2 linked regions of the Caenorhabditis elegans genome follow. The protein of the gene in region 1 purifies or fractionates together with the protein of each later gene. This does not show direct contact. Each region holds a gene or a part of one and is shown in the gene's direction. Other genes may lie near its edges.

Evidence for each region. Proteins that work in one complex are often made in the same cells at the same time.
Region 2: the proteins of T10F2.2 (region 1) and ptpn-22 fractionate together in Caenorhabditis elegans (co-fractionation; one large-scale study listed by BioGRID). This does not show direct contact.

Annotation. Positions count from the first base shown.
Region 1 is NC_003281.10:5,162,448-5,167,227, reverse strand, and holds T10F2.2 (Mitochondrial ornithine transporter 1), read left to right. Parts: upstream 1-1,916; 5' UTR 1,917-1,936; coding exon 1,937-2,171; intron 2,172-2,540; coding exon 2,541-3,095; intron 3,096-3,152; coding exon 3,153-3,268; 3' UTR 3,269-3,469; downstream 3,470-4,780. Other genes in the region: ulp-1 (Sentrin-specific protease), read left to right, coding at 1-424, 501-579, 782-949; gars-1 (Glycine--tRNA ligase), read left to right, coding at 3,604-3,687.
Region 2 is NC_003282.8:1,734,457-1,740,534, reverse strand, and holds the start of ptpn-22 (Protein-tyrosine-phosphatase), read left to right. Parts: upstream 1-2,650; 5' UTR 2,651-2,669; coding exon 2,670-2,717; intron 2,718-2,764; coding exon 2,765-2,843; intron 2,844-2,888; coding exon 2,889-3,064; intron 3,065-3,748; coding exon 3,749-3,857; intron 3,858-4,580; coding exon 4,581-4,719; intron 4,720-6,078.

The DNA of each region.
Region 1 (4,780 bases):
CTGATGCTGCTGATGCTCTTGTAGAAAGAGCATGGAGCGGAGGGAATCCAAATGAACAATTTGTGGATGCATTCAGCATTCAGATCTGTAAAAAAGATCTTGCAACATTGAGTGGATTGCATTGGCTGAATGATGAGATCATCAATTTCTATCTTCAATTGATTTGTGATCGGAGCAATGGCGATTCGAAATATCCAAAGATCTATGCATTCAACACATTCTTTTATTCCAATATTGTTTCAAAAGGATACGCGAGTGTGAAACGATGGACAAGAAAAGTCGATATCTTTGCATTCGACATCGTTTTGGTGCCAGTTCATCTTGGAATGCATTGGTGTATGGCTGTTATCGATATGGGCGAAAAGAAGATTGAGTTTTATGACTCTCTTTATGATGGAAATACAGCCGTTTTGCCAGCATTGCGGTTAGTTTTTTGAGTGTTTTTGGTTTTTATTTAAAAAACTCACAGAGAATATATCAATAAATATTTTATATTTCAGAGGTTACTTGGAAGCTGAATCATTGGATAAGAAAAAGACAGCAATGAACTTTTCTGGATGGACAATTCAACAGATGACGGTATATTGAATTTTAAAAAAATTAAATAAAAAAAAGGATTTTTACTTTAAATTTATTTCTGAAAAAAAGTTTTTTTTTAGAAGTCCAGATGTTTGGCTCAATCACTCTTTTTTTGATATCTATGCTCTCTAAAACAACCAGTAATACTTCTGAAATTACACACACAAAAAGATCTTCAACACGCGATAATCATCTTGTTTAGGACATTCCTCGTCAACAAAATGGCAGTGACTGTGGAGTATTCTCATGCCAATTCGGTGAATGGGCATCTCGACGAACGACGCCTCGCTTCACGCAGAAAAATATGCCATACTACAGAAAGCGAATGGTTTACGAGATTGTTTCGAAGAAGTTACTCGCAACTATTTGATTCTAGAAGATTAAAAGTGTCATAATTCATAGTTTTGTTTCCGGAAAAGTAGCTGTAAAATGTATTTTCTTCTCATTGGGCATAATTAAAACTTATATTTTGTCGGTGTCGTAAGCCCGAATCATCTAGAAAGTCTTTAATTTTCTGTATTTCGAATTAACCATATTTCCCATTTTCGTAGCATTTCTTCATTATCCAAAATATCGTTGTGATTCTCATCACTAATTATAACTTTTGATTTCATTTCATACCGTGTAAAGAATGTTCATACAAAAGATTAAAGATGATCGACGGTGTCAGATCACATCACATTATCACTTGTCACGTGGTCATTCTCAGATGACGTTGTTTTGTTTCAAAAGGTGATGCAAACTTTCCCATCCCGTTTTTAAGATTTTTTTGTCTCTGTGGATCTCTGGCCTTTTTTCTCTTTTCTCTTTTTCATTCTTCCTTTTATCCGAGTTTTATTTGATTTTTGACGTATTTATTAACAATTTTCTCTCCCTTCCACCTTTCAATTCCCAGTTCAATAATATCAATCAGCTTTCTCTGTTATATCAATATATTTCACTCCCGATCCCCGTCACCATTGCAAGTTGCAATAAATACAATTTCTTCACTTTTTTTTCGTTGAAATTTATTTTTTTTTCTTCTTGGTTTTATTTTCAACCTCATGGTTATATATTTTGAAGTTTATACAGATTCAATGTTTTATTTTCTAAACAGAGGAAATTTAAATCCTCCTTTATTGTGCTCATCGTGATCACAAAGTCACAAAAAATTTAACTTCCCAAAACCAAAAGAAATTGTCGTTTTGTTTTCCTCCTCACGACTCAAAAGTTAAATTTTTTGTTTTTTGGTCCGAAAAACCAACAAAACCAGCTATTTAGCAAACAAGAAAAAATGATCGTGATCTAAATTTTCTGGAAATTTTCAAAACCATTTCTTCCAATTTTTGTTATTTCAGAAAATAAAATAGATAGAAATATGCATGAAAGCGGTGAACCTACAACTGCAACGGGTGATGCTTCAGCCAATCATTTTAAAGATGGAATTATCGATTTATTGGCTGGAACAGCTGGTGGAATTGCCAACGTGTATGCTGGACAACCATTAGATACAGTTAAAGTAAAAGTACAAACATTCCCGAATCTCTATTCAAATTGGATTGTTTGTCTCAAGGATACTTATAAATTGGACGGAATTCGAGGACTTTACGCTGGTTTGTTATTTTTGTTTCGAAAATTTTGAGCTTAGTCTGGATTTCTGAATCTAAAAAAAGAAAAACAATCCTTTGTACTGAACACGTTCCATGCAACTATAAAAAAGAGTACTTCTTGAAGTAAAAATTCTCACCCTTTCTGGGAAGAACAATATAACGTGTTTTCAAAAAAAACCTTTTTTTGCAAAAGTTTCAGATTCTTTTTAAATAAAATACAATTTCTAAAAAGCTTCCAGAAAGCTCAGCAATTTTTTTGAACGTTTTATTTCAAATAACGTAGTTTTGATTTGGAAGTCGAGATGAAATCGAAAAAATCTTGAAAAATTAAATGTAACTTGATTTCTAAAATTCATATTTTTCAACATCCAGGAACTCTCCCAGCTCTAGCTGCAAATGTTGCTGAAAATGCAGTTCTCTTCACTGCCTATGGTTACTGCCAAAAAACAATTGCCACACTGAATGGACTCGAAGATGTCAGACAAATGACACCATTGGAAAATGCATTCTCCGGATCTCTTGCCGCAGTTTTTGCAGCTACCGTACTCTGTCCAACAGAACTTGTCAAATGTAAACTTCAAGCAGCTCGTGAAATGAAGAAGAAGTGTACACCATTCTCTGTTTGTCGGGATATCATGAAGGATACTGGTGTCCGTGGATTCTTTGTTGGAATGACTCCGACTCTTGCAAGAGAGGTTCCTGGTTATTTCTTCTTCTTTGGAGCCTACGAAACATGCCGTTTCTTATTGACTGATGAAGGACAGAAAAAGGAAGAAATTGGACTTGTGAAGACAGCAATGGCTGGATCAGTTGGTGGTATGGCATTATGGACATCCATTTATCCAGCAGATGTCGTTAAATCGAGAATGCAAGTCACCGGAGGAGGAACTTTTATGTCTACTTTGGGCGCTGTCGTTAAAGAGAATGGTAAGTCATTATTGAGGGATAATTAATTCAATTTCTTATAAAAATTCAATTTTACAGGAATTCGTGGACTCTACAAAGGACTTCTACCAACCAATCTAAGAACTTGCTTCGCTTCTGGATGTCTTTTCGTCGCTTATGAAGAGACACGAAAGTTCTTCCACTACGTCCTCTAGATTATATTAATCTCTGCCTAGTAAATTTTTCAATTTTTCCTCATTTTTTCTTTCCATCACACAAATATCATCATGCTATGAGAGCTTTCTTCGTTGTTTCTCTTAATGTTTTTTTTCGGTTTCTAACGGTTACTCTGAGATTGCCATAGGCTCACTTACGCCCGGTTGTTGTTTTCTAAATTTTTTAATAAAAATTGTTTTTTTTTGTTATATTTAACCTTCAAAAATCCTAAATGTAATGAACATTTGTTCATAGTCACTTATTTATCTGCTTCTAACACTGGCCAATGCTTCTAATGATCTACAACTTTCTAAAGTCAAAAATCTTCCAGTTCATGTTCTCTAGTTGCTGGTTAAAAAGCAGCGTCCGATACTCGCGGTTAATAAGACAATTTTCATCGGAAAATTCATTTTTCAAGGTGAGAACAGATATCAAATTAGGTAGTGAGATTGAGGTCTCATCACGAATAGCTGGGCAAATCCTGTTTCTTTTTACACTCGCGCATGATCTCGTTGTCCATGCGGAAGTGAATCTTGTCGTCAGTATATCGGACTGAAGACACAATCGGCTAAATTGTTTTTCCTTTTTCTGTGAGAATTTATTATTTTCTGAAAGTTAAAAAATTTTAATACCTTTTTTAGAAGCTTAAAACAAAAATTTCAAACTTTGATGTAAATATCATTAATAAAAATGGTGTGAAATTGTTATTGTTGATCCGCAATTTAGCGGAAACGGTGTGCATGTACAAACAAATTCAAACATGATGAAATCTGACAGCCTTGCATTTCATTTTCTTTGTGTTGAATTTCGCAATGTTTTTTTCCTGAAAACTTCGCTAGATTTCGCTGGTTCTCCAGTAATTATATGAAAAGGGTTTGAAAGTTTTAATGCTTTTTGAAAATTTTAATGCTAATACCATTATGCTTAATTTGCTTTTTTAAATGAAAACTTTCACGTCCCTCTTGGATTTGTCTCTCTGCCGTCTACAATCTCTTTCTCGTGTTGATAGGGCGCGCTTGCATTTTTACAATTTTTCTTAATTTATTTCTGAAAAAAAAACTAAATACTTTCTTTCTTTCCGAAATGCTTAATTCATATCTCCTGAATTTTGTTTTCTAATAGAGATTTAGAAGCCGCTAATAAACTTTTAATAAATGTTGTTTTGCTTGCATTTATTACGGTGCGAAAGATGATATAATAGGCCGAGTTAGTGAATATTACTTGAAATCTCCACATAAATACAACTTGTCGCGAATATGCAGAATACCGCCGATCACGACTTTAGAAATGATATTGATAACAAGGAAATGCGTTAAGTAAATATTAAAGAATTAGTATAAATATTACGAAGTCTGTCCGTTTTTTAAATGCTCACGACAATCTACCGAAGTCATCAACGACGACAAAGCCAAGAAACTCCTGTTTGAAAGCCGCGCCAAAAGACACACACTACACGAGTTTTACAGTACTACAATACCTGCACATCAAACCCCAACACTTCTTGGTTTTAC
Region 2 (6,078 bases), on another chromosome or scaffold:
TTTATTGATTTTTCTGAGAGTTTATCGATTTTTTTGAGAATGTATTGATTTTTTTCATAAATTAAAAAAAAACCGACATTTTTTGTGATTTTTCCGAAAATTTATGGCCTGCTTTCATTTTTTTTCCGCAGAAATTTCTGGAAAATGCAGTTAAAAATATGCTTTAAATGATTTCATATAAAATATTTCATGTTATTATTTCCCCGCGCCGCCGCCGAGCTGCGAGAAACATCGCGTGTCGCATACCTTTTTTGTTAGTAGTTCTGATAAGAAAATCGATTTTTAGTACACGTATAGTCATTTCTAACGTCATTTTGTGGCAGAAAACTGCTGATTTTTCATTTCGTAAGTCGTATTTTTTGCCCAAAATAGTGGAGTTTTTCAACAAAAATTTAATTTTTAGGTTGTTTGCCTACAAAAAATCGATTTTTTGTTTAAAAAGTGATTTTTTCCGCTAATTTTTTTTATTTTTAAGTCGTTCAAAACCCGGGGTTTTTGAGAAAATATTCACTAAAATTCAATTTTAATCAATTACCAGCCGGAACTTTCAAGTCTTCCGGTCATTTTCCAGCTAAAAATTTAAATTTCGCATCAAAATTGCTTGGATCGCTTCGAGACCCAACGGGGAAATAAATCCATGCGCCTTTAAAGTCGCAATACATTTCGGAATTTTAAGCCGATTTTTACCAAAACAAACGAGTTTTCGCTCATTTTTCATAGAGAAAAAAAAAATTTTTCGGAAAATTATTCTAATTTTTAAAGTATATTCTCAAGAAATTCCTCTAACTACTAGAAAATCGGAATTTTCCGATCAATCTTCCACACATCTCTCCCTGGCCACCCATTTTCCCACCGTCGCCGCAATCAGATTAGAGCTCACAGCGGAGAGAGCGAGAGTGCACAAAAACACGAGAGACTCAGAGACAAAAAACTGTGTGTAGGGGGCGCTGCGCCGCGGTGACACGAGGAATCGGGGACGCGGCGCGAGAGTGACAGTAAATGTCTATGTGCAAATTAATGTGACGGTGTTTGCGGCGGCGGCGGCGGACGTCATTTTTTTCACCTCTATCTCTCTTCTTTTTCTTCTTTTCACCCAGAAATGTTTATTTATTCAGTTTTTTTTTCAAACTTTTTCAAAAAAAAAAAAAGTTTTTTTTCATCGATTGAGTCACTTTTTAGGCATAAACACCCCAGAAACCAAACCTCGCGGCTCGTGTACTCCCCGAGAAGGTTTTTCGGTTTTTTTTTGCTAAAATTCTTGATTTTGAATTTTTTGTTCAGTTTTTAAGTATATTTTCTGGAAAAATTCAGTTTTTTTACTAATTTTTCCACTAGAAGTACGCGAGTTTGGTTTATTCACGAAAAACGTGACTGCAGCAACAAAAAAAGCACGAACGAATTCCAGGAATCGCTCGCCGCCTCGAGTTTAGTTTTATGAGAGTGGCGAGAGCATTAGAGAGCCTAGTCTTCTGATTTTGTTGTACTTCCGGCTTTCTTTTAGACTTTAATTTCAGGGGATTCCTGCCTCCTTTTCTGCAAAAAAATTGTTGAAATTTTCAACAGTTTCTAGTAAAAAATTTGAAAAAACTTTGTTTTTCACGAAAAAACCTTCCGAAATTCCTCTAAAAACCAATAATTTGAAGCTAAAAATCTCCGAAAAAGACAACAAAAAAATCTTCGATTTTAAAAAATTAAAGGCGCATGGAATTAAATTTACACTTGGGTCCCGAAACGATTATTACAGAATTATTAGAATTTTGCATAAAAATTTCATTTTAATGAACGAAAAACGAATTCTTTGAGAGATTTTTTGAAAAATAAACAAGTTTCCCGCAAATTAATTGGTGAAAATTCTCGATTTCTTATTAAAACTCTAAAAAAACACGGCAAAAATCAAAAACTACAGTAACCTCACTTTAAAGGCGCATACACTGTTCTGGCGGAATATCGGAGCGTCGTTGCCTTCGATTTTTTTTTAATTTTGAAAACAATTTTGCCAAACTTCAAAACTTAACCGCAAAACAAACCCCAAAAATTGACCTTCACATCCCCGGCGCCTAGTTTTCAAATTCGCGCCGCTGCAACGGAGCGCGTTTGCATTTTTCTCCCCCCCCCCCCCATCGCAATTCACACAATGACTCACCCGCGGGCCGCTACTTTTTTATTCAGTTCTGAGCGAATTTCGCAAATTTTCACGCAGAAATTTCGATTTTTAGGCTGAATTTCGCCCAAATTTAGGCCCAAAATCCGTGTTTTGCCGTATAATCCAGACTAAAAACGAATTTTCACTAGAATTTCGCAAATTCATCATAATAACCTAATTTATAGGGATATATCGAATATTTTATGCCTAAAAATATAATTTTAACGCAAAAATTGCTTGTATTATTCGTTATTCGTGTGTTGCCTTGAAAAAACCATTGAGTTCAAATTTGGCCTATTTTTCCCTTTTTCCCGCCTAAAATTAATATTTTCCTTGAATTTAAATTATTTCTTCATTTCTCAGCCGAAAAAATCTAAATTTTGTCTAAATTTCCAAAATAAAGCTGCGATTTTCAGAGAATTTACTGGAAATCCCGGATTTTTACCGATTTTTTCAAATTTTTCACTGAAAAACTTGAATTGCAAGCCAATTTTTCGCGTTTTTCAGGTAACGAAACACACAACGAATGTCAGATGACACATCGGCATCCGTCTGGAACGATGGCGGCCCTCCAGTTCGTTTTTCACCCGATTTCACCCATAAAATTTGGTTTTTTTTCAGGAAATTCAGGAACAAAAGCCAAAAAGCCCACCGCCGCCACTGCCTACATCGAATCCAGTAGTCAAAGATACTCCAAATGGTTCGAAAATAGCGAAAATTTAGGCTAAAAAACACGAATTTTCAGTAGTACCCACCGGCGATCTAATTCAGTTCGAAAGTGAGGAGGAGCGGGCGGCGACGACAGTTCCCAACGGAAATCCTGTGATTTTCGAGAAAAATCCGGCGATGGATGGGCTTTTGCGCGAATTTCTGAAGGAAGAGGAGGCCTACACGCCGCAGGACTATTTGCGCAGATTTTATGTACGGATTTTGGTCGAATTTAGGGAATATCCAGCGAAATTCTACGATTTTCGACGATAATTAGCCAAAGTTTGGTCGAATTTTAGCGATTTTCGAGCCAAATTCTGTCAATTTTCGGTCGAAACTTTTTTCAAAACGAAAATCACAGATTTTTGACACTTTTCGCCAAAATTTGGTCATTTTCACTGGTTTCCACACAATTTTTCTCCGATTTTTGACGAGTTTCTCAACAAAAAAACTATTTATAGCGAATACTGCCAAAATTCTGGAAATTTTTCGCAGATTTCGATTTATTCATGACTTTTTCCCTAGAAATATAGCCAATTTCGAGAATTTCCGGCAATTTTTGTCTAATTTTAACGATTTTCCTCATTTTTTTCCGTTAAATTATGGCAATTTTCTACTTTTTTTGCCGAGAATAGACAGTTTTGTTAATTTTTATAGGTTTTCAAGCATTTTTAGCGAATTTCTCGAATATTTAACCTCATTTTAATGGAATTTTGACAGTTTCGACGAATTCTGTCGATTTTTTGCACTTTTTCGCCAAATTTTGCACCATTTTCAACGACTTAAATAGATTTTAAGCAATTTTCACTTGATTTTTGGTGATTTTAGGGTCGATTTCAGCCAGTTTTCCCCCATTTTCCACCTGATAAAAACCCACAAAAATCGATTTTTTTTCAGCAAATCCGAGTGGAACAGGAAAAACTGCGAATGGAAGCCGAATATCGGTCAGAGTGTGCCGTCGCACCGCAACATTATGCTCGAAATCGATATCGCGACATTTTGCCGTGTAAATTTTTGATTTTCATCGAATTTTTCGCCAAAAAGTGTGGTATAGCGTCATTTTCAAGCAGGAAAAGCGAGAATTTTGACACTTTTTTTTTGGGAAAAATCGCATAAAACTGTGTGTTTTTTTAAAAAAAAGGATTAAAGGACGATCCGTTCTTCAAGTGCTTTGCACTGCGGATCTGGGATTCAGGTACATTGCCTGGTGGTGATCCCTCTGGGCTGTAATTTAAGCCACGTCTTAGCCGGGGACTGTGGCCGATAATCCAGTCGTGGATTGCTCCACTTCCCAATAGAGGCTGGGTGAACCTAGGGGTGAGGCCGGACTTGAACTCGTGACCTCCAGACTGCTAGCGGCCACCACTACCGACTGAGCTATCTGCCTCCCATTTCAGAAAAATCGAGAATTTCTTTAAATTTGACCAAAAAAAAATATTTCAGATTGCAAAAATATTCAAAATTCACGAAATTTGAAGCCTTCTGGCCATTTTTAGCAAAAAATCCGCAATTTTTTTCTGAAAAAATTTTTTAATGCAATTAAATACGTTTTTATTGACGTTTTCACTGATTTTTTTTTTGTTTAATAAAAAAATTGACCAAATTTGATGAAATTTCTCAAAAATTTTCGAATTTTGACGACGCTATACCCATTTTAATTAACTCTAAAATTTGAAATAAAAAAAATCCGTTTTTTTCCAATTTTTAAGCACAAATTTCGCCATTTCAGATGACAAAAATCGTGTGGAAATCCAAAAAGACAGTGAAAACCCCGAAGGATATATGAACGCTTCACTAATTCAATTGCCTGGTGGAAAAACTGAATTTATTGCGGCACAGGCTCCGCTACCGGCTACACTCGACGAATGGTATAGGCTTATGGAGCTCAAAAATGAGCATTTTTAGCTTGAAAATGCAGGATTTTGTGTAAAAAAATTAGTTTTTCATGTTAGCTCCGAAGCAGCAAACATTTCTGACAAAAAAGGACAATATCAAGCCAGAAATTGAAATTTTTAATAGAAAACTCCAAAAACCTCCGAGCATTTTTTAATTATTTAAATGAAATTTTGAAGATTTTATCTTCAAAATCGAACAAAATGAAACTTTAAAATAAATTATTTTTCAGAAATTTTTAGGATTTCTTGAGAATTGAAAAAAAAACAAGGAAATGATGAATTTCAAGTGAAAGTTGCAATTTTTCAGTTAAAAATAAATTGAAAATAAAAAATGAAAAACGAAAAATTTCAGTTTTTCCGTTGAAAAATCTACATTTCAAGTAAAAAGCAGCCTCCGAAACTTCCACATTGAATTTTTTTTATTAAAAAAAAATTAAAAAACGAATAAAAAGTTCCCCTAAAATTTCTTAAATTCACTATTTTGCTACTTTTTCGATTAAAAAAACACTTTTTTCTGTAAGAAAAACTCTGAAATTGATGGATTTTATTACGGGAACACATAATTCTTAGAATGCGTATTGCACAACATATTTGACGCGCAAAATATCTCGTCGCGAAAACTACAGTAATTCTTTAAATGACTACTGTAGCGCTGTTGTGTCGATTTACGAGCTCGTTTTTTTAAGCAAAACATGAGAGAATAATACGAAAAAAAAAAGGAAAATCGCTGTCACTATTCGAAAAATAAATTCATTTTGAAAATCGAGCCCGTAAATCGACACCAACGCTACAGTAGTCATATAAAGAATTACTGTAGTTTTCGCTACGAGATATTTTGCGCGTCAAATATGTTGTGCAATACGCATTCTCAGGATTATGTGTTCCGGTAATAAAATCCATCAATTTCAGAATTTTTCTTCTAGAAACAGTGTTTTTTATTCGAAAAAGTAGCCTGGGAAATGCTGATTTTCGGTGTAAAATTTTTTGTCGATTTTTTTGCGCGGGAGTTCAAAAATAATTTATAATTTTTTTTTGTAAAAGTAATTTAAAAAAACGCTTTTATCGTCATTTTATGGCTGAAAATTCCAATTTTTCAGGATTTAAAGGTGGACCACGCTCAGTGGCGAAATTGCTTTAAAACACGCCTATGGTACCACAATGACCGAATATCATGATTAAAAAATTCAAAAAAATTTCCCTGATTTTATATGATTTTTTGGAAATTGGAAAAATCTCAGTTTTCCTCCAAATCATATTTGAATTTCCGCCAATTGAATTCGTTCGGTGGAGCGCACTTGCATTATTTTTATTAATTTATTATATTTTCTCATT